4 linked regions of the Mus musculus genome follow. The main gene of each other region encodes a partner of the protein of the gene in region 2 in a complex. Links are inferred from orthologs where the notes say so. Each region holds a gene or a part of one and is shown on either strand. Other genes may lie near its edges. The genes, in order: Atf2, Mapk8, Dusp16 and Mapk8ip1.

Region 1 (7,166 bases), on a different chromosome or scaffold from region 2:
AGGACTAAGTGAATGAGTGTCAAGTGAGTGTGAAGGCCTGGGACATGACTTTATACTGCTCTTGGCTATACACTATATGTAGACAATACTAAATGTTTCTTTTCAGTTCTTCCAGTAACAAATTAATCTGGCTTATTGTAACTTTTATAAAGTTCATTTTTTAACTTCATCTCTAATAACATTTATTTTAAATCACAAATAGATGGTATAAGAATATAATAATACTTTATTTTATCCTTATTCTATACTACTCTTTCTCCCAATATTGAGAATTGAAATTCTGGGCAGGTAGAATTCTTGGAAGCAAAGGCACATACTCCCTTTCATTAGATTTCCCAAAATCACAATTTTTAATGGTTATACTTGATTATTGCCTTAGATATATTTAATTATCCCCTTATTTCTTAACATACGGTCATTTCCACATTTATTATAGTTATTAAGGATCCTGAGAACAGCCTTATTTCCCTGCAGAGCATCCCTTTCCCTTTATATTTTCCAGTTTTCATTCTTGTGGCTAGTTTATCACCTTCTAGGGGTGCTGCTTCTGCATTCCTTAGTCATTAATTTCTTTTAGGTAGTACATAGATCCACTAAGTTGTGGAAAATCAGTTCGGGACCTCCTCTGTTCTAATTTTCTTTTTAGGGATTTCCATCAAGAATTGTAATAGAAACTATAAATTAGTAATTCCCAAATTTACATCAGCCAAGGTATCTCTCCTGATTGCTGAATACAGTTTCTCTGTTGTCATCTCCTTTACTTTGTCTAGGGAACATCTCAGTATGTCTGAAACTAAGCCCTTAATTCTGTCCTCATTTTTCTCCTCTGAGAAAATTTTCTCTACCCATGCATGGTGGTAGTATGTCCTTGTAATTCCTGCACTAGGAAGGTAGTGTCAGGAGTATTGCACATTCAAGGCTAGCCTGTACTGCTAAAACTTTCTGGGCTATGTAGCAAGACCTGCCTCTCATTTCCAATACCCTTCCTGCACCTTCCAACAAAAAAAAGAAAGGGAAATGTGCATCTATCTACTTATTTAAGCAAAGCATTTAGGTGTCACCTTTAGTTCTATATTTTCTACCTTGACTTTGAAACCAATAGCAAATCTTCATTTACCAAGCATGTTTTGAATAAGGTTCATACCACTTTTGTGTTCAGTGTAATTGTCTTAGCTGTCATCTATCAGTTGTACCACTACTACCCGGCTTCTCTCTCTCTCCCTACTCCAGTGCTGAGAATGGCATGAGAGCCCCAAGCACGCACTTAAGACTACTGAGGGTTCCCCTTCCCTCTATTTTTCTTGCAAAACACAAAGTTTCTTTATGTTTCCCAAGCTAGTTTCATATTAATAATCCTCTGTGTGAGTTTCCCCAGGTTGCTGGGACTGTATGCATGCCAACCATACCAGGCTAAATTTCCTTTCAAACCTGCTTCTATTTTTGATCTGCTTCTCTTAGTTCTAAGTGTGGGAACTTAAAAATTTATTGAGTCATTCTTCTCTGCTGAAAATCTTCTAGCAATTTGCTCTTGAAGATAATTTATATTTATTCCTTAGGAAAAGCCTCATTGATTTGACTGTCTACTCATCCATCCTCGTTTCCTGCTCTCTCTATCCATCAAATATTGTAAGGTTTTCCTGCCTAGCATTCCCCCTTCTCTATAGCCTGCCTCTTCTTGATTCTTTCAATATCAGATCAGATTTCTTTTTGCAAGGTTTTCTTCCTCACTATTACAGTGCCCAGCTCTACCTTACCCTCTGCTAAATCATTATTTATTGTAGAATGTTTAATGTCCTTTCTGGTAGGAAGTTTCTGTGATGGTTTTACTCATTGTCATTCTGCTCACTAGTTCTTGAGTTGGAAGTTTTTAGATGTGCTGAAAACTGTAGTTACAATGCTACTAATTTCTCCTTCCTAGTATCTTACTAAGACTCCAACTGAAAGTAGCTATATAAAGGCCAGTTCAAAAGGATACAATAGTTAGGGAGTTCTGGGTAAGGCCCTCATCTCTTTTGTAATCTGAAAAAATAGGAAATATTTTAACAATCATCCTGGCTGATTCATAAATTCTATTTCTCTTTAGTTTGGAAAGCTCTCAGCTCTACCTGCTAATTTTGTATGACTCACTTGGTCTTTTGATACTAGAAAATTAATGTTACCAAATGAAAAACTACCTGAGATTAGCAGACTTTTTTTTTTCTTAATTTAAAATGTCTTAAAACATTTCTGTTTGTTTGTTTGTTTTGTTTTGTTTTTTTGAGACAGAACTTCTCTGTGTAGCTTTGGCTGTCCTGGAACTTGCTCTATAGTCCAGGCTGGCCTCAAACTCAGAGATCCACCTGCCTCTGTCTCCTTGGGATCAAAGACGTGCATCACCACCACATCTGAACACCAAATTGTTTAAGTCATAGCACTATCTTGCTGGATCAGTTTCTTGATTTTGTAATACAATAAGCAAATAGGATAGGACAATCCCTTGCAGGTTTTGATTTTTGATTACTGACAGTAAATTGTATTTGTATTTCTTACTGAAATTCTCACAGAAACATTGCCAAGTAGCCCAGCCTAATTTATTTTAGAGTAATAAACACATTGAACCAAAAACACAGATTTGGGGTTTTTTTTTTTAAATTTTAAGAATTACATTTGAACTTTACAACTGCTTAGATATTTTCAATTAACTTTAGATATTAATTTACTTGTAGAGGCATTAAGTATTATCTAGTGGTTGCTTTCATAAATGTGTTACATTCTGTTCACTGGGATACATGAATTAACTTGCGTTTTTAAATACTACCCTTTATTTATCTTAAAATTAAATAGGAAGTACCATTGGCACAAACTGCACAGCCCACATCAGCTATCGTTCGTCCAGCATCATTACAGGTTCCCAATGTGCTGCTCACAAGTTCTGACTCAAGTGTAATTATTCAACAAGCAGTACCTTCACCAACCTCAAGTACTGTAATCACCCAGGCACCATCCTCTAACAGGCCAATTGTGTAAGTGATTCCAGTCACTCACTGACTGTACATGAGTTGTTAGGGTTTTTTGTTTTGTTTTGTTTTTTTATGGTTTTCCCTAGGATATTTAATTACTTGAATTAAAACGTGTGTGTGTGTGTGTGTGTGTGTGTGTGTGTGTGTGTGTGTGTGCGCGCGCGCGCTACACGAGAGAAAAAAGGAGAAAGAGATCTGTCTGTCTTGGGTTTTGGAAACTTTTAATATTTTAAAAATAATATTATCTAACACATTGGACAATAAATATCTAAATCTTAGCTAAAATAATGAAAATAGACTATAAGTTTAAGATGGTCTTACTTTTATGGTTTTTGACACAAAACAAAGCTATTCCATTTCAAGATGACATTTGTCTCAGTTCTTAAAAGTAACTCCCAAGACCTTTCTGATGAGAAATTTTCTCATTTCACAAATTGGAAATCCATGATTTTTCCCCAGGCTTTTTAAAAAAAACACTCTTACATAGATTATGCATTTAAGATGCAATTAAAAATATCTAAGTTTTGTAATTTGCCCTTTTAAGGTTAGAAAACTTATTTTTAAGCAATAGGAGGGAAAAGACTGTTACTTTGCAGAGGTGGTTGGTATGGATCTTTACATTTTTCCCTTGTTTTGTTTTTCTTAGTCCTGTACCAGGCCCATTTCCTCTTCTCTTACATCTTCCTAATGGACAAACCATGCCCGTTGCTATTCCTGCATCAATTACAAGTTCTAATGTGCATGTTCCAGCTGCAGTCCCAGTAAGTTGGAAAGTTAGACCATTTAAATTTAAGTCTTTGTATCTAAACTGGTCTGGGTAAAATAACCAGAAAATATATTTGAACTGCTTGATTGGCTTACAAAATGGAATTTATCAAGTGTTTATTAATTGGGAGTAGTATTTATTCATCATTACCTGTAATCGACTATAATATTCTAGGCAAACATAATTGGATTGAAACCTTTCTTTACCCCCAGCCCACTCTTGTTTTCTGTATTCTTATTGCATTATTTCTTGATTCACCTCACTCCAGTTTGACTAGGTTTATGAAATTCAAATATTTCTTAAGATACTTGTTTTGGAATGCTGGCAAATAGCTATGGTGTTTATAGTTATAAAAATTCTTCAAAAAACACACTTGTCCTTTATGGTTACATGAAGTTTAGTGGCCCAGGCATGTTAAAGTCCAAACATTCATATCTTGGCCTGATGACACATGCCAGGAATCCCAATAGTCAACAGATAAAGATAGGGTCAGAAGAAGGTCATAGCTAGCCTCAGCTAAATAATACATTTTAGGCCAGCCTGGGTTACTGTTGTGAGAAAATCCAAAAAAAAAAGTTTTATGAGAAACACACTAAATACTCAAATTTTGGGAAATAAAGAAAAAGTAATTAACTATATTGAGTTGTCTAGTGAACATTTAAAAACATAATGTTGGGCCAGGCGGTGGTGGCGCACGCCTTTAATCCCAGTGCTTGGGAGGCAGAGGCAGGTGGACTTCTGAGTTCAAGGCCAGCCTGGTCTACAGAGTGAGTTCCAGGATAGCCAGGGCTATACAGAGAAACCCTGTCTTGAAAAAACCAAAAAAAAAAAAAATGCTGGAGCTGTGTGGTTAAGAGCTTGCACTGTTGTTGCAGAGGACATGAGTTCAGTTCCCAGCACCCATTGCAGATGGCTCACAACTGACTATTGCTCCTGCCATAGAAGATGTGAGAACTTGGCACACATGCCCACCCATAGATAAATACATGTACACACAATTGGAAAGATTAAATTGTTATGTAAAAGCACTGTATTTGAAATGATGAAAATTTTCTTTTTCATATCATATTTCACAAAAATAGTTTTATTCATACTTTCAAATTAGTCTTCCAACATTTTACATTTTCATCCTGAAAAGAACTTTTAGATATCTAGCAAAGTTGTCTAAAACATACTATTTTCATTTTCCCTAAATTATTTATGATACATATATAATTTGAAACTTTCTTAAAGAATACTTTAAGCCTTAGTCATTCATGTAATGAATATAGTTGGAGGGTTTTGTTGTTGTTTTTTTCCCCCCCCCCGGGACTAGTGAGATGTGTCAGTGGATAAAGATACTTGTCACCAAGTTTGACAACCTTTGTTCCAGTCTCCATGTCCCACATGGCAAAAGAAGAGAACCAATGCCAGCAATTGTCCTCTGACCTCCATATGTGTGCCATGACATGTATGTGGAAACATATATGCAAAGTAAAGAAATGTAAAAATTTTATTATTACATGGATAAATAGTGTTGATTCATGTGGTATAATCCTTTAGTATATAGCTTTTTTTTTTTTTTTTTTTTTTTTTTTTTTTAAATTTATTTATTGGTTATATGTAAGTACACTGTAGCTGTCTTCAGACACTCCAGAAGAGGGTGTCAGATCTCATTACGGATGGTTGTGAGCCGCCATGTGGTTGCTGGGATTTGAACTCCGGACCTTCGGAAGAGCAGTCGGGTGCTCTTACCCACTGAGCCATCTCACCAGCCCAGTATATAGCTTTTTGAGATTATTTTTTAAAGCTTACTTGTAGCAACATTCTAAAATTTGTGGTTTGGATATGCTCCTCAACAAAATTAGTAACATATTAAGTATTAAGTTTATTTAAAAAACCTTCCAACCTACCTTCCTACCTTCCTTCCTTCCTTTCTTCCAGTTTTGAAGCAGGATCCCACTATATAGCACTGGCTGGTCTGGAACTATGTAGACCAGGCTGGCCTTGAACTCACAGAGATCCACCTGCCTCTCCACATGAGTGCTGGAATTTTTAAGTAATCTAAATGTCCAAATTATCATTGATTGAGGTATTTCCAAAATATTTTTCTTCTTTAAACAGAACCGTGTTATTCAAATTGCATTACTTAAAAGTCTTAGTGAAGACTCGGGGAAAGGTTTGCTTTCTCTTTTTTGAAGATATTTTTAAAGCAGGAAACATTCTTGCTTTGTATTTGAGATAAAATGATTATCCTTTTGAATGTGCCTGTATTAACGGCAACTTGTAATGAAAAAAAGAGATTAATTAACCTTACTCTTCTAAAGTGAAAAGCGAAAGTGGCAAACCCTGTTAAAGTATCACCTGAGGCATTATCAGGGGGCACCGGCTTCTATGTTAGTACACAGTACATTAATACATCAGTGCACATACATTTTAGAAAATTCATGTACTTATTTTAATAAATTACAGTTTGTGTTGAAATTATTTTAATTTTTATTGTCACAGATTTGGTAGTCCTTTTAATTGCAAAATTGGAATGTAAAAGATAATCTACACATTTTTGTATCAGTCACTTTGAATATTATGGGTTTATAAAAAGGAAGTTAAAGCCAGGCCAACTGACACAGGCCTCTTACCCCAGTTACTTAACAGGCTAAGACGACAAGCTAACCTGGACTACAGAGTGGGTGCAAAGCCATCCAAAATAACTTTATGAAATCCCATCTCAAAAAAACAAAAGTGGGTAGTGATAGAGCTTTATAATAGAGCACTTGACTCATATGCCCAAGACCTTGGTTTTGATCCTTGCAGGTAGATTGGGAAGGAGAATACAATCCTTTGAGAAAGGTTAAAACATGGAGATTATTATTTCAGAGAAATTGACAACTTTTGAAAGATAAATTTTCTAAATCCAAAGTTACAAATTAAGAGTCATATGTAATAAAAAAGGTACATCTTGTTTTATAAATACTGAATCAAAGTTATTTTAAATATGTTTTTCACAGCTTGTTCGGCCAGTCACCATGGTGCCTAGTGTTCCAGGAATCCCAGGCCCTTCCTCTCCTCAACCAGTCCAGTCAGAAGCAAAAATGGTAAGCAGATTTTTTATTGAACATTTATTGAGTCTCTCTCTTTTTTTTCTTTTTTTTTAAATTAAGGCCACCATTTTATAAAGTTGTGGGCTATATTTCACTATAGAAGAACCAGAAATTTGGAAAAGAAAAGCTTCCATTAGAGTAGTGACTGGCTTATGATACTTTAAGTATAAAGGGTGAGCTGGAAATAAAATTCTAGTGTCTGTTGCTTGTGGTTTGGTCTATGCGTTAAACTCCTGGTGGAGGTTCTAAATAAATACTACAGCTGAAGTTAAGCAGGCGCTCTGATAGCAGTGCTGAGCACTTACACAAAGTTCTCTAACT
Region 2 (7,166 bases):
TTACCCCAAACCACACATTTCTGCTTCAATGCCCTTATCTCTTTCATCTTTCTTTCGTGCGATTAGGACAAATGTGCCTCCTGTGGTTCACAGGAAACACCCAAGAGATCAGTAGAAACACAATGCACACTAGAATATGCACACTAGAATGCAACAAGCCACGAGGCAATGCTGAAGAGGGCTACGGGTGAGAGACGGTGCTGGGTATTCTACTCACTGGTAAGACTTACTGGGGTCATGGGGCATCATGCATCCACTCTACACTAATGAGTGACTAATGAACAACACTCACAAACTACAACAGTATTTCTGAAAATATACTATGTTGTTGGTTTTTTTTTTCAATCTCAAAATGCCGTGCAGGCTAGCGCTGAGGCAACACTGATGATGTCTTCATGTGTGCGGCAGAAACTGGCCAATAATGTAAACCAAGTTCTTTTTGTAACTCAGGAAACAGCTTCCCTTGCCTACTGCTCATCCTATCCTGTCAAGTGTCTTTTCTACCTCCACGTCTTAGGGTAACAAAGTGAGATGAGCTCAGAACTGAGGGATAAGGCTGACAGGCAAGCTTTGTACACAACCAGCTTCTCTGTATTGGTGGGGACTACTGCTTCTCTTACTAGCCAGGTGTGAACACACTGGGCCTTTGCTTCTGGTGTGCACTCTTCTGAGATTTGGCAATCAGCAGCATGGCATGACACAGTAAAAACCACTAGCAAATAGCATTAAAGAGTGAGATGCTCTATAACAAAGCAATCCCAACAACATGCTCATCTTACAGATGGTCACTATGTATTAGTGGGTACGAGACCTGTAACCAGGAAGACATGTAGGAAGAATAAGGCTCTCTTTCCTAAACCATGAAGTGGAATGCTAATTCTCAGCTAAACAACTTTTAGACAGTAAGACAATGGGTATCATAAGTATATATAATTGAAAAGTCAAATTATAGGGTGGCTTAATAAGTACTGATAGACAGAAATGTTATTTGTAATTTCTTAAAAAAATACTTAAGATGCTTTAAGACTCTAAAAGTACCAGTAGGATTTATGTTAAAAGATTTAAACACAGTGGTGTGTTTTGTGTGTGTGTGTGTGTGTGTACAGTGGATCTTAATGTGTTGGGCACATGTTTAACAAACAGACCTTGCTTTTAGGTATACTCTGTTAGGTATTTCAGCTTACATTAAGCATTGAGAGCTTGTTGTTTTTTTTTTTTTTAAATTTAACTGAAACATGATTGCTGGCAAGTGGGAGCTGGCAATTACAACAGATGAGACAATCAAACAACTAGTATTCCTTACTTACCCGAAATCTGAATGAAGAAGATGGCTTCTCAGCAATCAAACACAAACACAGAAAACTAACTACAGCATATCAGCTGGTAAGTGCAATAGTGACACATTTTATCACGGCAAAACCAAAACCAGTTAGATGCAAAACTAATATAAAATAAGAACACACTCATGCTCCAATTTCTGCTAAAATCCTGACTTCAACCTTGTATTTCTAGAACCAAGAGGCGTAACAGTCTCAAATTCATACTTGTCTAATAAAATAAATGCACCATGTTGTACATATAGAAAAGGAATCACTAAAAGATGGGACGCTAGAAATCTTGATAAACTTGCTATGTTTAAAAAGGTAATATCTTAATCTTAAGTATTGCACATTAACAAGACTTAAAATAGCTTACTTGAAAGTAATTGTACACTAAATGTTTTTAAAAAGCAACCAAAAGAAGAAAAATCCAAAAACCAAAACAAAAGAACCTGCTAAGCAACCTTTCAGAAATCTGCCAAGCTGTGCCCGCTCTTACTCCTGCTGATTGTGAGCTCCAAGGGGCTCCGGGCTCCTTCCTACAACCTTGCAGCTCATGAAGTATGCATTTCCCAGTTCATTACATGAAATCCCTCTTGTTCCAGATAATACCAAAGGTGCCTGGGCATTATAGACATCATTTCAGAAATAATGAGACCTTGATGACATTTTACTTAGGAAAATTCAGTTACAGAGAAAGGATTCTGCAGATATAAAATGTAAACAGTTAACACACACTTGTCAGGAGCAGCACCATTCTTACACTACTCAACGTCCATACTGGAAATCAGATATAAAAAACCAAAGACTCAGATGAAAGAACCACCACTATGCCTGCTCTGCTCACTGTGAAGAAACAGTCCTTAGAAAATGACATCCTACATATGGCTGTGTGCTACTATTTTCAGATGAACGGCATATTGCTCATTTAAATGTCACCTACACAAGTTTAAGTAGGCTTTGGAACCTCCTGACAGCTAGTAGAAACAGGATAATGCTACAGGTAGAATCAAATGGCCAGAAACACCACAAACTGGTGCTCAACAGACTGACCCGCTAAGGAACAGGAACTGGGAAAGGCCAGAGGCCAGAAGCTGTCCAACAGGGAAAGTCCAGGCTCGTGGCCAATGCCAGGACCTACAGCCTGAGGAGATTAACTCAGTGTCTACAGAAGCAGGCTCGTAGCCAGGACAGGGGAAGCATCTGTTGATCTCCACGGAAATGTAGATTCATGAAGTGTCCTCTTAACTTTGTGTGATCAAAAGCTTTAAGCATGCCACAGATGATCAGAATATACCACATTCCTTAGTTTAAGTTTTTCTTGGGTTGGTGTAGGAGATTCAAAATGGAGAAGGATGTGCCCAGCATCTTTAAAGACATGCTCTGAGTTATTCTGCCATTAGATAAGGTGTTTGCTAAAATTTAGGTAAGGTTGCCTACCAATTGTTTTAACTAAGTTGGGATTGGCAAGTAGCAAATATTGGAGGTTTCTTGATGCGTTCATCATTTACAGTAGTTATTCCTGAATATAACTGGCTACAGGTTATTTTCCCTTATTCCTCTGGGGTTATTTCATTGATAAGCACATAACCCTGAAGGATAGCATCATGAACAAACATCTGAAATAAATTCTAATAAAAAACTTATAAACATCTTAAATAATTCATGATATATGCAAGTCACCACATAATAGTTGCTTTGATAAACAAAAATTTTACAAATTCAGTAAAAAAATCAGCAGCATAAGATAAAGCAAATATGCAAAATTTAAACCATGATAAAATAATTAGGTTTACATTATACAGTTAATTACAGCAAAAATACAATACAGTTTTGTTGCTGTTTAAAAACACAACTTAAGTTTTAAATTACAACACTTGAAATTAAAAAAAATAAACTACTTTACTACAAAATGAATTCTACATTTTCTGAAAAATCACTCAAAAATATGACCACTGAATTGTTTTTAAAGCAGTTCTATCAATGACTAACCAATTCCCCATCCCTCCCACCCACCCAAGGCCCAAGTAGTCATCTACAGCAGCCCAGAGGTCCAGCTGATGCTTCTAGACTGCTGTCTGTATCCGAGGCCAAAGTCGGATCTGTGGACATTGAAGACATGTCATTGACAGACGGCGAAGACGATGGATGCTGAGAGCCATTGATCATTGCTGCACCTGTGCTATGAGAAACAAAACAGCAAACCAGTTGCAGAGAGAGTTGCAGACCGGGCTGCCTGGCCTGTGCTACCTACCTTCAGGGTCTATAGACTTCTCCTGGGCTTACGGGTTGCTGAATCGTATTGAACCCAGCACTAATGTTCTCTTATGCACACAAACTACGAAGGGAGAATTGTGAAAATGTCTAGAAACCTATACTTGTTTTCCTTTCCATAATGCATTTTTAGTTTAAGACAAGAAGTTAAAATCCAAGTAACATGGAGAATGGCCCTACAGCAAGATCCATAAATGGGCCTCAGGGTGTGTTCCAAAAGAGTTGAGAGTACATACAAAACTGCTTACACTTCATTTTGTTGGAGAGAAGATCTCTAAGATCCAAGTAACTAAAAACAGCCTGAGAACTAAAATAGTATAGAAAATTACTTTTGATAGTCTCACAAAAACCACAGTGTTCAAGTGATACTCCTGGGTCCATCTTACAAAGTAGAAGCCAACACAAAAGAACAGCATCTTAAAAAAAAAAAAAAAAAAAAAAAGCCGGGCAGTGGTGGCACACACCTTTAGTCCCAGCACTTGGGAGGCAGAGGCAGGTGGAGTTCGAGGTCAGCCTGGTCTACAAAGTGAGTTCCAAGACAGCCAGGGCTACACAGAGAAACCCTGTTTCGAAAAACCAAAAAAAAAAAGACCAGCATCTGATCAGGAGGGACCTGAACCAAGTGGCCAGTCTACAAGAGAGTGTGTCACTTACCAGGTAACCAAAACAGCCTAGTAGGTAAACTCAGGCATACTTTGACCCAGGTAAATACCAGGCAAAAACAAATACAAACTTACTAAACAGAGAGAAAATGCTTTTCTCTGTGAAAAAGCAGTATCGAACAAGCATTTCATGCATTTAAAAAATGAAAAAGCTCAAAAACCAGGAAAACCTATGGAGAGACAGAAATCCTTTTAAGGGGGAAGCCTCATTCAGAGGGAAGAACATGTTAAAGCATCTCAACAAGATGGAGCAACTTTCAAGCCATAAGCTCACTAAATAGAAGTACAAGAACTTAAGTTCTCAAAAATACATATACAGAACAAAAACAGTGTGTAGTGCTCAGGGCCCCAAGATGCTAAAGCCGAGCAGGCAGGACTCTGCTGACGCACTTGTCCCCCTTCTGTACAGTGATGAGCAGAACACTGAGAGACAAGAGGTCCTCAGAAGCTTGTATTCAAGTGTGACTAACGTACTAAAAAGAACGTCAGAACGTGATGGCACACATAGCAAATTTAGCAAATTTTGTGGTGAAGTTTTTATCTATTCCAACTGAAGACTTTTCAAAGCAAAGAATAAGGAACTCTAAGGGATTTTTTCTTATTTAAAGACATGGCTGTGGTGTCAATGAAAACTGGCTTTAAATCAGCAAATGCATCAAGACAATAGTGTGTCATGGCTTTCAAATTTAACTACCAAACTGAGTGAGCATGGGAAGAACTGCAGATTCCAGGCCTCTGAAGATTATAACACAAGATGCAAGGCACAATCACAACCAGGTTTATATTGTAACCAACCTAAAGGAGACGGCTGCCCTCTTATGACTCCATTCTTAGTTCGTTCCTCCAAATCCATTACCTCCTTGTATATCAGTTCTGAAAAAGAAGAGGAAAAGTGACTCTCAGGCATGAGTCCTTAAGTCAAAGCTTCTATCTGTTAGGTGCATCAAGCTGGGTTCTTGCAATGATAGCAATGGCAGAGGATCTGAGTGTCAGCTTCAGACTCATAGGTGTTAGCAATTAATTCACTGATCTTCGACCACAGATAGATGTTGATAGAAAGCTAAGCTCTCTGCTCTAATTGTCCCAGCTGGTTAAAGGGCAGCTGTTGTCAGAAACCAGCCCCTGCCTTGAGTGTATCAGCCACACAGCACTCTGCCTTACAGACCCTTGTCTAATTCTGTCAAAGTGAGACCTGAGGTCAATACCTTCCTTCTACTTCCTGGGTTCTGTCCTAATGCAACAAGGCTGTAATTAGAAAGATTTATAACCAAAGCAGCATTTACAATTAGAATGGGACAGAAGGGTATTTTTACTGAAGGAAAAGAAGCAGCAGCTTCAGATCCTTCCAAGTAGCCTACAGCAGGTGTCAGCATCAACACCCCTTCCTAGGACTCATGGATCCCAGCAGACCATTGCACGACAGATTTGCCTGCGGAAAGACACAATGCTCTTGCTTGTGATTCTGACTTGTTTGGTATCATTATCTATCACTTTTGAGTCATATACTCTTTGAAAAATTACATAAAAGTAATTCTGTGAAAAAATATAAAGAACTTCTCAAACATCTGTGTAATTCCTGAAGTTCAAGGTATTTCTGTTTTGTTTTGTTTATATAGTATCCTTTGCTGGAGACCAGGCATGGATGGCACATACCTGTAATCCTAGTACTTGGGAGACTGAGGCAGGAAGATCACAAGTTTGATGCTAGTCTGGGATACACACATACTTCTATTTCAATATTCTTACAACTTTAAAAGCATTATCAAAAAGCTGAATACTAAGAACCAACCAACTACCTAACCAATAGATAGAAAATTTATTTTTCATCCGAACAGGAAATTATCAAAAAAATACAAATGGATAATAAATGTATGAAAAAAAATATCAACATTCCACATGTCATCAGGGACACACAAAAATAGTACCAAGATTCTATCCAACATCAATGGAAATGGCTACCATCTATCAAGAAAGCCAAAAGTAACAAACGCTGGTAAAGATGTGGGGGGAAAAAAAAGGAAGCTTCATACATATTAGAGTAAAAATGTAAATTATAATAGTCACTATAGAAATTACTGGTTCCTCAAAAAAACCCAAAAAGCAGAATTCCATTAAAGGCACCTAAGGCAGGCAATAGCAGAGCTATCTGCACACCCATTTCTATTGTGGTACTATCCACAGCAGTAAATACACTATTAGTGTAGATGGCCATCAACAAAAAAAAAAAGCACGGAGAAAATGTGGTAAGGTTGGGTACGGTGGCAGTCTTTAATCTCAGCACTCTAGAGGCACGCAGTGCTGGGGAAGTTTGGCATTAGTCTGCACTACATAGGGAGTTCCAGGCCAGCCAGGCAGACCTAGCTTTTTTGAGATCCTGTCTCTAACAACAACAACAACAACAACAACAACAACAACAACAAGTGGTTTATGTGTATGCAAATTAGTTTTAGCCAGCTATAAAGTAGAATGAAATTATGTCATTTGCCAGAAAAATGGATAGAACTAGAGATTATCAAGTTAAATAAAATAATTTTGACTCAGAAAGATAAATATTGCATGTTTTCTTTCCAATGTGGAACCTGGGTTTGACAATATAAATATACATGACACAAATACATACAAGGGCTGGTTAGGAGGTGAAAAGGGACCAGAGAGAAAATAAGGGAGGCCATGAGAGAGTAACAGGAGGTTGGCACGAACAATGTAGAGGTTATGTCCATATCTGAAGATGTTATAGTGAAACCTGTTACACTGTACACTGAAATAATAAAAAGCATATTTATGTATGACCATATTAATAAAATAGAAAAAAACTAGATCTGATGTTCAAAGATGATAAATTAAGCCACTCTACTGGTTAGAGTGGCTGTGGATCAATACTCTTGTATCATGCTGACAGAAGCAGAAACTA
Region 3 (7,166 bases), on a different chromosome or scaffold from region 2:
CAAGGCTCCTAAATAGTTCATCCAGCAGAATGATGTCCGTATCCTTCAGCTGTCAATCAAGTTTGGGTTTATTACGCAGCTTAAGACAGGATCATTTCCCTTGGAGTTACCATTAGAGGGAGGGTCTTCCCACCTGACCCACAGCTGGCTCAGTCTTAGCGCTAAGGTGCACTAGGGAAGGGCCTGGACAGAGATGAGTTCTGAGACCTCTGTTGCACGTGAAAATGGGAGGGATTTTGCCCTCTAACATTAAAAACAAACAACATACAAACAAACAAAACCCTTGCTTTTGTAGGAACAAGAAGATGTGCAATTCACTGAACCAAATCTCTTCTCCTGGCTGGGAGAATTCTAACATCTACCCTTCCAATCTTTTCTGAGAGTTAGCTATTCTCAGTGCAGGTGCTGAGAGAACAACTGTGTTGATCCATCTGTTGCTTTTATACCGTAGCTCTATATTCCAAAAATATATATGTATGTACATATACATATTTCAGATTTACAGGGACTATTTTTTGTGAACAGGAAACAAAACTGTCAACAGAAGCGACGAGGTCTTCTCAAGAGACCTCGATGATCTCCATGCTGCCGGAGAAGCTGGACTGGCTGCCCACCTTGCCCAGCTCCTCCCTGGACCTGTTCTCCGACATAATGCTCTCTCCAAATTCCATTTGGCAGCTTCTGCGTTTAAACTGCTTTTCAAAGGGGCTCTCTTCATGCCAGCTCCGCCTCGAGTCAGCTCTGTCAGTAGGCTTCTGCCGCCTACGAACAGAATAGATTTGGTCACTGCAAGTGGGCAGCTGGCCACAGCTGTAGGCAGAGTAACTGCTGTTGCCTCCATAGATGGCTGAAGCAGAGTACAAGTGTGAAGGCTCCGTAGCAAAATACCAACTGCTGGTCAGGGAGGGGGCAGAGGACTGGGGAGCCAGAATATCTGAGTGCCAGCCCTTGAGGCCAAGCCCTGCAGACTTGGTGAGGTGTTGCTGGCTGGTGGAAAGGCCAAAAAGGAAGTTGGTATGGTAATTGTCCTCTACACTCCCGCTCCGATGCAGTGGCGAGAAGAAGGGCCTCTGGGTGGACCCACTACTGCCGGTTCTCACTGAGTGCAAGCGTGTGACCTGGCTCTCAGAAGGCCTGGGAGGTTGGGGCTGCTTGGGGATGTGGGCCTCCTCCTTATCCGGGCTGGTCTCTGGACTCTGTTCTGATACCTCCTGAACGGGGGAGAACTGGCAGAGCTTGTTGGTCCCATCCAGTGTGGCAGAAGGTTTGTAGTAGTCTAAAGCCTCCTCTGACGAGAAGCCGTGTAGGGACGCGGCCATACTGGCTGAATATGAAACAGATTTGATATCGAGAGAGAAGGAACGCTTGAGCTTAGTGCTGTCTTCCAGCTTCTCTGAGGACAGCTGGAGCCCACTGAGCGCCTGTACCAGCGGACTGTCCTCTAAGAGTGACGGCTGTAAGCTGGGCACACTTGCAGGATGCACAAGCCTTTGCCCTGATGCCTCCGAGGTCGAGTTGGCACAGGGTGGACTGAGAGACAGTGCACTCTTCCATCCGCCCTCTGAGGCTGCAGGCACGGGCTCACTGGGTTTGTCTAGGTGCAGCAGCTTCAGTTTGCTCTTTGGCCCTGACATTCCAGTCTGGTTATTAATCGTCTTCTCATAGTCCATGAGTTGGCCCATAAAATTAAAATTCGGAGATATAGTAGGTCTTTTTTCTTTCACAAATCTATAGAGAGGACAAAGCAAAACCCCTGAGTTTTACAACTGCACTTTGTCTTGAAGCTAGTAAGAGAACGTGGGACGGGACACTACTCCACCTTCTCAGGGTGCTGGAAGAGAACTCACGTACAATTCCAGCACTGAGGTGGAGAACACCTTATCAGGGTGCTGTGGCATGGTGGGTGCCCGCTAGAGGGGATTCTCTAGGCTCCTTGTTTCCAAGAAGCCAAGGCTTCCTGTGCAGTTGATAAGAGGATTCTGCTGAACCCAGGAAATGCCCTGCTCCCTGCCACACCCAGCAGCACAGCAAGGCTAAGCCCCTCATCAGCTTCAGCATCCCAGGATTCCCTCTCCAACGTCCATACTCACTCACATCTCAAGACTTCCCATAAGGAGACGGATGGCACCAGATGGCACAGTGTCAGAGCACCCAGTTCTGGATTTCTTTTTATATTCACAATGTTAGAAAAATCCGTTACAAAGTGACCTCTGGATGCTAAGCACTGTGCTGCTGGACTGAATTACTCAGTCCTTAACCTGCTTCATCTATATCAGGCGCAAAGTCCTTAAGTTCACTCAACAATGAAGCGGGATTCAAACCTTGGACTAATGAGTGTCTAAATCCATCTTGAAAACTCACACAGTAAAACTGTAATGGGATATAAGAATGTGAGCCTTCCCACCTGACTTCAACCTAAGCAGAAGGACACAGGGACATAGCCTAATTGGAGAGAAGCATTGTACAAAGAGGACCGATCTACCTACCCCTCCCGGCACCCAGGAAGACAGACTGCCTAAGCAGCTCGTGTCATTGTTCCAGAATTTACATTCTGAGAAACTCAAATATCAAAAGAAGCTAACATGGTGCATGCATCTATATTCTTATTCTTTTTCTTATGTGACACAACCACTTCTTGTCAACAGAGCATACAACAGAGGCATAAGAGAGAACTCAGTCTCATTTGTCACCAAAGAAGACACAAGTCCTCAGCAATCCTGCCACTTTTTGTCCTTTCCTGAGATAGAAGGAGAGGGCAGCCTAGGCAAAACTACTACCTGTAAAATCTGGCCAACTAGACAGGACGGCAGTTTTCCTCAGATTTTATCCACGAGTGTACCTGGCTTTTCCATCTCTGCAGTCCAGTCCAGCAGAGCAGCCTCTGTGGCCTTGTCAATCAGAAAAGGTCATGCTTCTCTATTGAGGGAAAGGATAAGCTTTCCTGGTCTGTTACTAAAAAGAGCCGAGGAGGGACTCCACATGTTAGAAGAATGAAAGCTAAGCAGAGCCAACTCTTCCTCAGTCTCTGCAAGGCCATGAGTCACCAGGAACCTGTGATGTGTGTGACCAAAATCAGCTTTGTCTACGTTCGTCTGGTCACCCACCTTCCTACCTCTTTCTGTTTCAGGGAAAATGAAAGCAAGTCCCATAAGCCGTGCTCCTGTCCTTACCTGTAAGCCTCATCTAGAGACATGTCCATCCTCTTCATGATGTAGGCAATAGCAATAGTGGCGGAGCGAGAGATCCCAGCTAAGCAGTGGATAAGCACACAGCCATTGGAGGCTTTTGCTTTCTCTGTGGGAGCAAATTTAAGAAAAGTCACTAGGGATTTTTTCAGCAAGGGAATCTTGCACTGGCCATTACTCTGAGTGTTACTGTCGGTGTCTTCACCTGAAACTTCAAAGCAGATCTTACCTACATAGCCTCCTAGTTATCCTTTATTGTTTACAGGGGGAAGGGGAAGGGTAGTTCTCTCACTAGTAACATATCATGAGCCATTAAGGTTTAAAGGGATTATTAATAAGCAATGAATGGGTTACTACCTCAGATTGCTGGGCTCTTATTTCAATTTTTTTTTTTTTTTGCCATGTAATGCATGTGTAAGAATGCAAGTAGAGGGAAGCCAGAGGTCTACCTCGGTTGTCACTCCCCAGGTATGACAAAGTGCCTCACGAGCTTGGAGCTCACCAAGTAGACTAAGGTAGTGGGCTGGGGCAGCCTCCTGTCTCTGCCTCCCCAGTACTGGATTACAAGCGAGCACCACCAAACCCATCATTTTTACATGAATTCTGGGAATCAAACTCCGGTCCTCACGCTTGGACAGGAAGCACCTAAAGGCTGACTGTCTGCCCAGCTATTTGCTTAACTCGAAAACATGTCCATGCTAGAGCAGAGTTCTCTAATAGGAAGCAAGAGTTTGAGACTTGTGGACACCATTAGGAGCAAGCCAGGGAGATCCAGGGGGCGCTGCCCTCTCTGCTGCTGAGGAGCTTCAGCGCGCACATGGAGGAGCAGATGACAGCCCAGACAGCCTACAAGCAACACCATTGTAAGCAAGTCCACGACAGACTCTACCCTCAACTACGACACATGTGCCCAGCTTAAAGTTGTTGTCATGGAGCCAAATCTATCCTTTTCATTTGTGTTATAGTCAAAACTCAGGTTAAGATCATTTTGGTTTTGTCTTTTGTTTTTCCAAACAGGGTTTCTCAGGGTAGCCCTGGCTGTCCTGGAATTCACTCTGTAGATCAAACTGGCCTCAAACTCAAGACATTCACCTGCCTCTGCCTCCCGAGTGCTGGGAATAATGTGTGGACTACCACCAGACAAGGTTAACATTCTTAAAAATTATCAGAATACAAGGAACCTGCACTGCATACTGAACAATACAGAGCTGCTCCAACCTCGCAGCCTGTGATACAGACTTCTAGTAAATGTAGTTTATTACTCATTGCATACTAAATAATTTAAGAGTAATCAGCAAGCAGCATTTCTGTTAGACAAGGGAGCCAAACAGGAAAGAGTGAACACAATCCACACTGACACACAGGGCAGGCTAACACACAAAGCACACAGCCTACACATACTCATAGTATGCTGACATCAACTGCCCACATTATTACCTTCTACTCAGTAGTCTGTCTCTCTTTTCATTGGCTGAAAGGCTCAAAGCAATTCTGATTTTATGTCCCAACATTATACTGTCCCTGTTATTTGGCTCTTCTCCAACTTTGGTCCTCTTGGTGTGTATGCATGAGTGTGTGTGTGTGTGGACCCCAGCCCCTAGCTGGAAGCTGGGAGCTGCTCCAAATCCTGATGAGAAGCAGGACTGGAAGGCTGGGGAGAAGAGCGTGCAGAGCACCGCCTGTCGCTGGAAAAGTTCCACATCCGATTCCAGCACACATCCTAAAACCCCGTGGCTTCAGTTTTCTTAATTTTGAATTTATCTCCTATTATTGCTAGTAATGATCTGAGGCTGCAGAGGTGGTTCAGTGGTTAAGAGCACTTGCTGGAGTTTTGGCTCCCAGCACCCACACTACAACTCACAACTGTCTGTAACTCCAGATCTATGTATTTGATGATCTTGTCTGACATCCTCAGGCACCAAACATATACACAGGTAATACAGGCATAAAAATAAATCTAAAAAAAAATTTCAAATGATAATTATCTTTTAAAAAAGTATAAGAACATGGTCCTGTTCTCACAGTCCTCAACGTATTGAATACTAGCATATTTTATGCAGGCAGTTAATAGTATCTGGCACATATTTTAAAATATTTATTTATTTAATGTATGTGAGAGTACACTGTAGCTATCTTCAGATACTCTAGAAGAGGACATCAGATCCCATTACAGATGGTTGTGAGCCACCATGTGGTTGCTGGGAATTGAACTCAGAACCTCTGGAAGAGCAGTCAGAGCTCTTAACTGATGAGCCATCTCTCCAGCCCCGCACATATTTTAAAAAGCAATTTATTTAAACAAAAAAAAAAAAGAGAGAGAAATGGAAAGAAGGCTGAGCAGACAGAAGTATCTGCTGTCTGAGCTGAATGAGTTGTCCTCTGGCCTCCATGTATGGTGGCACATGTGTGCCCACACACATGTATCATGTACACACAACCATAGTAACAATGAAACTAAAACTTTTGAAGGATGTTGCAAAGAAATAAAAGTGACAGCTGTACAGCCAGCCGCCCGAGCAGCAGTGACGCCTCACAAAGAGCCGGTACTTCCAAGCAGGTGAGACCTGACTCTCCAAAGTGTCCTCTGACCTCCAGAAATGCACCACGTCACATGTCTGCTTGCCTGTGTGTGCCTCTACTTAATACATACAAGTAAGAAGACAAACGCTGTTTTAAAACCCTGACAGAATACGCACTACAGCGTTGATGGTGGGCTTCCTTCCCCTTTCAATTTTCTGTATTGTGTTCATACTGAGTTTTTTTTTTTGTTTTGTTTTTTTTATAGCCACAATTCATCTGATAAGTGTCTTTAATTAAATATAAAAGTGCTTATTCTAGAGCGGGCTCATTAGCACGTAGGTCTTGACAGACTGAGTGCTAGCCCATGCCTTGGAACAGAAGTCCCACACAAAGACCTGGTAGAGAGGAAAGAACCATGAGAGGAGAGCCCTGTCAGTACTGAGCAGGCTCAGAAGGCAGTCTGCTGGAGCTGGCACTCACAAGCCATGGAAGAAATAAGGGGAGGTGGCTGCAAAAGTAGGGACATACGTGTATGTGCCAGCGTGCATGCGTGTGCATGTGTGTGTGTGTGTGTGTGTGTGTGTGTGTGTGTGTGTGTGTGTGTGTGTGTGTGTGGTATGTAGGATGACTCTCGGTAATGCTAGGCTAAGAGCCATCTTCTTGCGTAGGAAATTAAGGAGACTCTGCTAGTTCTGGAGTGACGAATAAGAAGTCAGAGATGGTGAAACTGGAAATAACATCAAGTTAGTACTACAGGAATTCAAAGCAATGTTTAGGGACAGAAACATTGCCACAACAATAAACTAAAGCAAAGGAGAAGGCTGAGAAGACTGAGGGCCTGCTAAGAGCGAGGTGTCAGGGCTTGAAAAGGAAGCGATGGCCAGGGAGGTCAGAGCACAGTTCAGCTGAGGAGAGACAGGAAAAAGTCTTCGTGGTACTCTTTAAAATATCCGTTAGTCAGTGAGGGTAACCTGTGCCTAGAGTCCCTACTACTCAGGAGGAGTGCTTGAGCCCAAAGGATGAGGCCAGCCCAGCAGGAGCGTGTCAGAGAGAGGAGCAGAAAACAGAAAGAGGTGAGCACGTCCTCAGAGCTAACTCTGAGCTGAGTACTCTGCAAAGGTTCGCTGCCTAGAGACTGTCTGCTTTAATCTTCATGCTCTTCATACAAAGCAGGTGTGTTACCCAGCCTTTTTTTCAGGAAACATGCTCAAGAGAGTTTTAAGAGTTTTATGTTAGATACACACAATCGCTTAACTGATAACCAGGGAGGCAGGACTCAAAGTTTGGCTCCAAAGTCCATCCTTTTAATCAAGTCTCTCTGTTGCCTCAGTACAGATTCGTGGACTTGGGGGTGGGGTGGGGTTGAGCAGGAGCCAAGGAAGCAACCATGGAGAGAGAGCAGGAGCTTGGATCATGCCTCTGAATCAACATGGCATCCAATGGGAACATTGATCACAACTG
Region 4 (7,795 bases), on a different chromosome or scaffold from region 2:
ATCCATCCAGTGCATGCAATGAGGTTTCTGTGACCCAACCATTTGGGAGGCGGCAACAAGGGGATCAAGAATGCAAGGTCCTATTAATTACACAGTAAGTTCCAGGCCAGTCTGGATGACGTGAGACCTTGTTCTATCAAAGGCAGGGGTGGGGGTGAAGGAGGCAGACTGAAGGACCCACGGCTTCCCCGAGAAGACCCACGTGGTCAGGCAGTTGTGTGATGGGTGAAACCTTGCTTTACTGGGCAAGCTTCTGGTTCTGGTTTCCAAAACCTAGCCGCAGACTCCCCTCTCTAGTCTCTCTACTGTCCGGCTGGCCTCAGTCTTCTAAACTCATTCCAAAGCTATATACATGCAGCCAACTAATGAGCTCCTGTCAGATGCTGGAAACCTCAGCTGCCTGGTGAGGATAGGAGCAGTGTGGCCCTTACTTACGAGTCCAGGAACAGAACACAGCCAGCACCCAGGAGAGTTTCCCAGAGTTGGACATGACTATGAGCAGGGCGCCAGGGGACAAAGTTGACATTCTAGAATGGATAAGACCCCTGAGTGGGGATGGGAGCAGTGATACAATTTATAGGAACCTTAGTCCTCAAGGCAGAATTAGGTTGTGCCATTTCCCAGAGATCCAGATACCCAGGTGAGGGCTGATGCTAGGTGGCTGGGGTAGACCTCCTTCCCGGGCTATGGCTGGGCTGTGTGAGGCTTGCAGGCTAGCCAGCTCTTCTGCTCTATGTCACAGGCTCACCAGCTAGGCCAGAGGCAACAACTGTCATTCTGCTTCCTATCCTCACCACAGCAAGGCTGGTGGTCCCCATCTTATCCTCACCATGTCCTAGGTTCCTCCTAAGGTGACGGTAGTCTCCTCTGAACAGTGACACTCCCAGAACCATGGTTTGAACACTTCCCACCTGCCCTCCCAAACGCTCTCTGCCAAAACCAACTGCTCACTTGACTGCAGCAGCTCCATCAGCAAAGATCACCAATCTGAAATCTGGCAAGCACTAAGGTGCTAACCCTGCTGCCTGACTCCCCTCTCATGTCCCCAGGAGCCCAGGCACCACCCTGGTTTGTCGCTACTGCATCTTCTTTATCCTCAGACCAGCGGGAAGACCTGATCTGCCCCGTCCCCTAACCGTCTCCTATCCTGATCCCATGCCTTCTCACCTGTCTGCAGAATGGGCAGGATGGATGGTCCGACCACAAGTCTCCCTGCCTCCCCATCCACTCTGCTCAGCAGCCAGAGTGAGCTCACACCATCCACCAGCTGCTGGCAGTCCCTGTCTGACCCCAAGACAGCACCCACTGCACAGCTCTGCCCTTCACACTGCCAAACAGGTGTCACCCTGCCTATTTGCCTATTCCCTAGCCTGTCCTTCCCTGTGAACCTTCCCCCTCTGTGAGGATTGCTTGACTTTCCCCTGTGGGACCTGTACCTGCATGATCACCACACTCGGCCTATGTGGGAAGACACTGTCTACCTCTACATTGTTTCCTGCATTGGGGTCAGACTCATGTCAGGACCTCTGCATACTGCTCCTCCTGATGAGCCCAGCAAAAGGTTTGTTTGATGAGCAATGCCTATGGCTCTGTAAAGCTGTAAATGAGGCTCTGCTCTGAGGTGAGTGCCTCTTGTATGGAGGCAGCGCAGTAGGGTCATCTGACATCATCCAGGTTTCCATCTGGGTCCTGGCTCCATCCCAACTTTATGATTAACTTGCTGTGTGTTCTTGGGGAAGTCACTGCCCCTTCATGTTCCTGCATAAGAGATATTTACTGGGCCATTTTTCTGTTTCTGTTTTGTTTTCTTCCACAGTGTAACCTAGGCCCTCCAGCACACCAGGCAAGCACTTAGCACCCATCCCCCAACCCTGACAAGTTGACATCCTCCGAGGTCTCCCCTTTCCAGGACTCTTGGGCATAGACTTACAGCAGGCTGTTCATATTGCTTCCCATGAATACTCCTTTGTCCTGCTGACCCTTCCACTTGGGATGACTCTCCTTTGTTTCAGCCCTTCATCCCACACACCCAGGGTCAACGGATCCATTGTGTAATGCTCTAAATCCCCTCCCCTAGAGCTTTCTTTATGAAAAACATGGAAGAGTTAAAAATATCCTTTCGCTATGCTGTAAGTAACTCAGTAACTTATACACACATGCTAATCCAAAAATAAGAAGCCAAATGGTACCTAAACAGGTAAATTAGAAAAGGAAAAGTCCTCACCCCACCCTACATGCAGATAGATATACCACTAGGGACCAGATGGAAGATTTCCATAGTCAGAAATCCACCCGGCACATACTCATTTAAATCAGCTTCCAACAGATGCTCCCATCTCTCAAGGCCACACATGCTCACCCCTCCAAAGGTGCACCCCAGGATCCCAGGGCTCGCTCTCTTGGTAGCAGAGCTGAAATTTCTTGGTTTCCTTCTCTGAAAGCAGTGGTAGTACTAACCCATTCACATGGTTACAGCAGCACACACGCTTGGACCCACGAGGTTCTCAACACGGTGCTTCCCACTACTCTGTTCTCCAGGAGAAACGGCCCCGTGCGTCCACCCTTCATCCGTAGTAAACCAGCCCTGCTGAGCACCTGTTCTGGACTGAGTCGTGCGGAGAGCAGAGCACTGACATAGACTGCTTACACATCCTAGAAGCTCAGAGTAGAAATCACACACACACACACACACACACACACACACACACACACACACACACACACACACACACCTGAGTTCTAGAACCATCCTGATTAGGGGCAGACAAATTAAAGGAAAAACAAGGACCCAAAGGGCTTAAGTACGCAGTAGTGGTGGAGTACACAGCTTTAAGAACAGTTGAACCAGCCGGGCGTGGTGGCGCACACCTTTAATCCCAGCACTCAGGAGGCAGAGGCAGGCAGATTTCTGAGTTTGAGGCCAGCCTGGTCTACAAAGTGAGTTCCAGGATAGCCAGGTCTACACAGAGAAACCCTATCTCGAAAAACAAAACAAAACAAAACAAAACAAAACAAAACAAAACAAAACAAAACAAAACAAAACAAAAGAACAGTTGAACCCACAGCCCTACCAAAGAGTCACAAGATGGGCATCGAAGATCAGGGTTAAATGGAGCCAGACCAGTGGCTGCTGAAGCAGGACAAGAGAAAGGGCAGTGGGGGTTGTTGAAGTAGGCAGTAGGCCATGTAGGGCCCCACTGCCCAGTGTTATCTCCAAAGCCCGCTTTGTCTCACAGCTAGGGCACAGTGTCCTGCAGGCCAGCCCACTCCTCACTCAGCCTTTTGCTATACTGTTGCCCCCGCTCTACATAGCCCAGAGTTGGCCACACATTCCCTGGCTAGTAGCCTTCATCTTGGCTTCTCGGGCCTGTATGATAAACAATTTCCTGCCAGAATAGGGTGTGAGCCTACCCTGGGCCAGAGATAGGGCCTATAGGGAGAGGGAACAGAGAAGGCTGAGACCTGGTTTCAGGTTCCAGTCCTGACCTTCCAGTCAGATTTTTCTGTGGTTCCTAGGCTAGCCCCTCTGCCTTCCTTATCTTCCATCGCCTCAGCTCAGCAAAGGGCAGATTAGGGTGGGCCCTCAGGATGGTTGTGAAGGTTCAGTGAACTACCCTGGAGAAACACTTTGACAGAAACAAGCTGTACAGATTTCTGCCAGTGTGGCCGGCTACCTGTTGAACAGTGACTTGGTGCATACTGTCTCCTTCCCAGGCAGGAATCAATATTAATTAACCCACTCCACAGATGAGACCAAAGACAAAAGCAAGCTTGGATCAGGCAGCGAGGAAGCAGTGGAAACAGGATTCGAACCTCTGTCCCTCGCAGCTAATTCTCTTCCCCTGCAAAGGCCTGACCTACCAGGGAGAATCTGAAGCATTAGCCTGGAGGCTTTCCTCAGGTTTGGAACCATCCTCTGGCCCCCTCCTTCTGGTTCTCTCAGCTGGGTTTAGGGCCTCCTTGGAGGATTCAGGGCCTGATCATACCATTTAAGATCGTGTGTGTGTGTGTGTGTGTGTGTGTGTGTGTGTGTGTGTGTGTGTGTGTGTCTGTGTGTGTGTGTGTGTGTGTGTGTGTGTGTGTGTCTGCCCACCTGAGGACCTGGGAGCTAGAGACCCCTTCAATAGATGACAACTTGGCGCCAGAGCCCAGCTGGGGCCTGGCTGGAGCAAGGGTCCCAGGAGAGAGAAAGGCGCCTGCTCCTGATGGGGAAACAATGAGGTATGTCTCAGCTTCTACATTCTGGAGCAGTGACACCCTTCTCTTCTTCGTCACTCTCTCTCTCTCTCTCTCTCTCTCTCTCTGTGTGTGTGTGTGTGTGTGTGTGTGTGTGTGTGTGTGTGTGTGTGTATGTGTGTATGTGTGTGAAAAGGTGAAGAGAGGACAGTCACCGGTTCAACACATCATGCCTTACATCTCTGAAATTCATTCACCTGGTCTAACATCAGATGGAGGGGTGGGTCAAAGAGGAGCTCAGTTCGGTGTCCTGAGTCTTTACACAGTGGGGACCCCCCAACAGTATCCCTGGATATCCACAGGCAGATTCCCCTCCCTCAAGCAAATTGGGTTTCACTGGTTGAGGCCAATCCTTCTGCACCTGTCCTGAGATACAACTGACCAGGGAGCTGCCCAAATTCAGAAGACCCTGTCCAAGATCGCCTAGCAATCTGACCCATCTGGCCAAGCTAGCTGGGAGAGGGGTTCACGACTCTTCTTAAAGGACCAAGGGTTTTGAATTGGGGCCTCTGGGCCCCCAACCCCTTAGCCTACTTCCACCTTGGGTTAGATACCTTGAACGCGGCAGGATAAAGTCTGGGCGGATTGCTGCACCGGGAATTCCATCCAAACCCCAGACCCACTCCCGCCAAGGTGGAGGGGAAAGGCGACCTCCCAGGTTCCTGCCCCAGATCCACCTCAATCACCCCACCCCATGACACGGAATGGCAGAAGGAGCTGCGGGGGGCCACGCGGTGGCCACCAACCTGGACTGGAGGTTGTGGGGGCTGGGGGCTCGGCCGGGAAAGGACGCCGCCCTCAGGGTCTCCAAGGATCCCGAGGTTCCGGGCCTCGATCCTTACCTGAAATTGGGAGGCGACGCGATGTGCAGTCCCAGGAATGGGGAAGCGGCCGGTGGGGACGCGGCGCCCCCGCCCAGGCCGCTCTCTCGCTCCGCCATTCCGGGGTGCAGCCCTGGCCATCCGGGCGGAGAGCGGCGCGGGAGGCGGCGGCGGCGGCGGCGGCGGCAGCAGCGGAGGCGCGTGGAGGAGGCCGCCGCCGCCGCGGGGTTCGGACTGAGCTGGGGCGGGCGCGGCTCCGGACAGCGCGCCGCTTCGCCTGCGGCCCCCGCGAGAGCGCCCCGCGCGCGCCCCCGGGCCGGCTGGGGTCTTGTGGCCCCGCCCCCGCCCCGCCCCGCCCCGGCGCTCTCCGAAGTGCTGACGCTTCGATCCCGTGGCCCTGGGTCCCCTCGGCCTCCCTACACATCCCAGGGACATTCCAAGCACTGGCAAAGCTTTGCTCTCCTCAGAGCTGGACCTAGATCGAGGGCATCAGCGGATGGCAAGATCCTGCTCCCCAAGTCCGTCTTTGGCCTTCCACAGCAACTGGGGTAGGAAAAGGGTTACAGAAGATGGCTGAGAAAGGAGAGATGGTGGTGGAGTGGGGTCCAAGAGCAGTCAGCTATGGGGCCAGGTGACCTAAGACCACAGCTTGGTTCCACAAGTGAACAGGCAGTGGAGAATTGCATTAGTGACCTCATAGTTCCAAGGCTTGTCTTTCCCATGTGTGAAATGGAATATGAGCCCTCCATGAGCATGGGGAGGAAGAAAAACGATAGAAATACTTGTCCCTGGGAGCTGGGAACACCCACCTGTGCACTGGGATCACCTCCCGCAGAAATCTCTGAAGGCCACCTCTATCAAGACCCACCCTTTAGTTTTGTTTTGATTTTTGAGACAGGGTTTCTCTGTATAGCCCTGGAACTCACTCTGTAGACCAGGCTGGCCTCGAACTCAGAAATCCGCCTGCCTCTGCCTCCCAAGTGCTGGGATTAAAGGCGTGCGCCACCATGCCCGGCCTAAAAATGTGTAGCCCAAGCTGGCCTCCAACTCGTGATCCTCCTGCCTCTGCCTCCTTCAGCAAAGACCCCCTTGAGCCCTGACCACCCCTGATAACCTGAGTGATGCTTTTGGTTTCTTAGCCCTGTGAAGCCTCTGTATGCCAGGACTACCCCATCACTTGTTTTTCTTTCATTTCCAGTTTGTCCTGGAAGTTACCATGTAGCCTCAGCTGACTAAGAACTGATGACAATCTTCTTGAGTCTCCTGCTAAACTGGGGGATTAGTGTGAACTCCTGTGCCCAGTTCTCAGCACCTGTCTTCCCACTGCGTTTTCTATCTAGCACCCCTTTTGCACTCACACAGTCCTGAACTGGCTTCTCCTACCCTAAGGCCTAGGACCTTCCTCATCCCCAGGGCCGGATTCTTGAGAGCTTTGTGGTTGCTTCTGTTCCTTGCACCCACTCTGGGTCTAGCTGTGCTTTCTTCCTGGTTCTCTATTGGGTTTTCTCACACAACACCGTTTACCAAGACTCGAGTCCCCGTTTTTGGTGGCTCAGAGAGCCTCCCTGCCAGGTCACCTCTGGCCACAGACCCTGCCCTTCACATAAATGGAGCAGGACAGACCAATGTTCTACAGTCTGTGCAAACTTGATTGCCTCCTTCCCCTTTCCAGCAAGAAGCGTAGGCACCTACCTTGTAGTACTCAATCTCCCTGCTTCAGCCCTGAGAACACTCCAGAACCTAAAGCCAGAGGCCTTGGCTGCCTCTCCCCTCCCTGCCACTGATGCTTCAAGAGGTAAAGGTTTGGTCACTTTAACTCTCTGCTCTGGCTCAGGCCTCTCACAGGAGGCCCTGCCCAAACCATCTGCTGTTAAGGCACCTTCCTCCCTCCCTCCCTCCCTCCCTCCCTCCCTCCCTCCCTCCCAGGAAAGCAGCCATGCCTGATTAGCATGGTTAATGTGTGCTTGTCTCCACTGGGCAGCATCCCCAGGAGGTCAGAAGTGTGTGAGTATGTAGGACAGTTCCCTCTCATAGAACCTCTGCTCAAGAACAAAGGTATCTCAGCTTCTCCAGCCACGCCAAAGCTACATGAGAAGCCCAGAGAGGGAGGCCAGTCTTAGTAGAAAGTAGGCCAGCAGAAGCTTGGAGGCAGAGCCAGGAATGAGATGTGCCCTAGAGTAAAGCTCTCCTTCTGTTTATAGAGCAGACTGTGATTTTCTTTGGCTTTGCATGAGCCCCTCTCGCACCAGGAACACCCATGTGCACGGCATTCTGGCCAGATGGTACAAGACAGGGCCAGCATCCAGGCCTCAGGCTTGGCAGTAGCTTCCTTAACTGTGTCTAGAGGGCACACATACCTTCTTAGCACATTATAAAGAATGGACGCAGTACTCTGGATCTCAACAGGCTACTCAGTACTACTGAGAGGTGGCACGCAGGAACTGATCTTGGTACCCTGTGTGGTTTGGGCTGACTTTTGTTGCTAGCATACCACAGTAGTTTACAGTCTCCTCTATCCAAGGGAGAATAAGACTCCTCACTCCAACAAGCCCAACACGGCTTGCCTTAAAGCTTTACTTAGGTTCAGCCTCAGGAGCCCAGGTCCCAGACCTCCCACAAGATAGATTACACAACACAGTTTTACTCAGACAGGATCAGACATTTATAAAACAGGTAAATATTCACAAACAAACTGTGGGAGAAACACAACCTTCCCAGCAATAGGGAACTCTGTAAAG

The links.
Region 1: the proteins of Mapk8 (region 2) and Atf2 are in contact, whole or in part, in a crystal structure (PDB 6ZR5), measured with the Homo sapiens proteins. The link is inferred for Mus musculus from reciprocal best matches to the Homo sapiens genes MAPK8 and ATF2. Residues at the interface, in NP_001310257.1 of Homo sapiens: Asp112, Ala113, Gln117, Val118, Met121, Glu126, Arg127, Tyr130, Leu131, Tyr133, Val159, Lys160, Ser161, Asp162, Cys163, Val323, Trp324, Asp326, Ser328, Glu329; in NP_001243019.1 of Homo sapiens: Phe36, Val44, Lys48, Met51, Thr52, Leu53, Lys54, Phe55, Gly56, Pro57.
Region 3: the proteins of Mapk8 (region 2) and Dusp16 are in contact, whole or in part, in a crystal structure (PDB 4YR8), measured with the Homo sapiens proteins. The link is inferred for Mus musculus from reciprocal best matches to the Homo sapiens genes MAPK8 and DUSP16. Residues at the interface, in NP_001310257.1 of Homo sapiens: Arg189, Val196, Ile197, Leu198, Gly199, Asp229, Ile231, Trp234, Gln253, Thr255, Val256, Thr258, Tyr259, Val260, Asn262, Arg263; in NP_085143.1 of Homo sapiens: Phe215, Leu267, Asp268, Tyr271, Lys275, Pro279, Ile281, Ser282, Pro283, Asn284, Phe285, Asn286, Leu288, Gly289, Gln290, Leu292, Asp293.
Region 4: the proteins of Mapk8 (region 2) and Mapk8ip1 are in contact, whole or in part, in a crystal structure (PDB 3VUM), measured with the Homo sapiens proteins. The link is inferred for Mus musculus from reciprocal best matches to the Homo sapiens genes MAPK8 and MAPK8IP1. Residues at the interface, in NP_001310257.1 of Homo sapiens: Lys83, Asp112, Ala113, Gln117, Val118, Met121, Leu123, Glu126, Arg127, Tyr130, Tyr133, Val159, Lys160, Ser161, Asp162, His286, Val323, Trp324, Asp326, Glu329; in NP_005447.1 of Homo sapiens: Arg157, Pro158, Lys159, Arg160, Pro161, Thr162, Thr163, Leu164, Asn165, Leu166.

What each region holds. Positions count from the first base shown.
Region 1 is NC_000068.7:73,842,033-73,849,198, reverse strand, and holds part of Atf2 (cyclic AMP-dependent transcription factor ATF-2), read left to right. Parts: intron 1-2,823; coding exon 2,824-3,002; intron 3,003-3,645; coding exon 3,646-3,760; intron 3,761-4,622; coding exon of another isoform or gene 4,623-4,630; intron 4,631-6,752; coding exon 6,753-6,839; intron 6,840-7,166. UniProt on the Homo sapiens protein: Transcriptional activator which regulates the transcription of various genes, including those involved in anti-apoptosis, cell growth, and DNA damage response.
Region 2 is NC_000080.6:33,378,824-33,385,989, forward strand, and holds part of Mapk8 (mitogen-activated protein kinase 8), read right to left. Parts: intron 5,129-7,166; coding exon 5,051-5,128; intron 3,502-5,050; coding exon of another isoform or gene 3,497-3,501; coding exon 3,351-3,496; 3' UTR 1-3,350. UniProt on the Homo sapiens protein: Serine/threonine-protein kinase involved in various processes such as cell proliferation, differentiation, migration, transformation and programmed cell death.
Region 3 is NC_000072.6:134,717,324-134,724,489, forward strand, and holds part of Dusp16 (dual specificity protein phosphatase 16), read right to left. Parts: intron 3,295-7,166; coding exon 3,171-3,294; intron 1,729-3,170; coding exon 561-1,728; 3' UTR 1-560. UniProt on the Homo sapiens protein: Dual specificity protein phosphatase involved in the inactivation of MAP kinases. Dephosphorylates MAPK10 bound to ARRB2.
Region 4 is NC_000068.7:92,395,951-92,403,745, forward strand, and holds the start of Mapk8ip1 (C-Jun-amino-terminal kinase-interacting protein 1), read right to left. Parts: upstream 5,314-7,795; 5' UTR 5,177-5,313; coding exon 5,079-5,176; intron 1-5,078. UniProt on the Homo sapiens protein: The JNK-interacting protein (JIP) group of scaffold proteins selectively mediates JNK signaling by aggregating specific components of the MAPK cascade to form a functional JNK signaling module. Required for JNK activation in response to excitotoxic stress.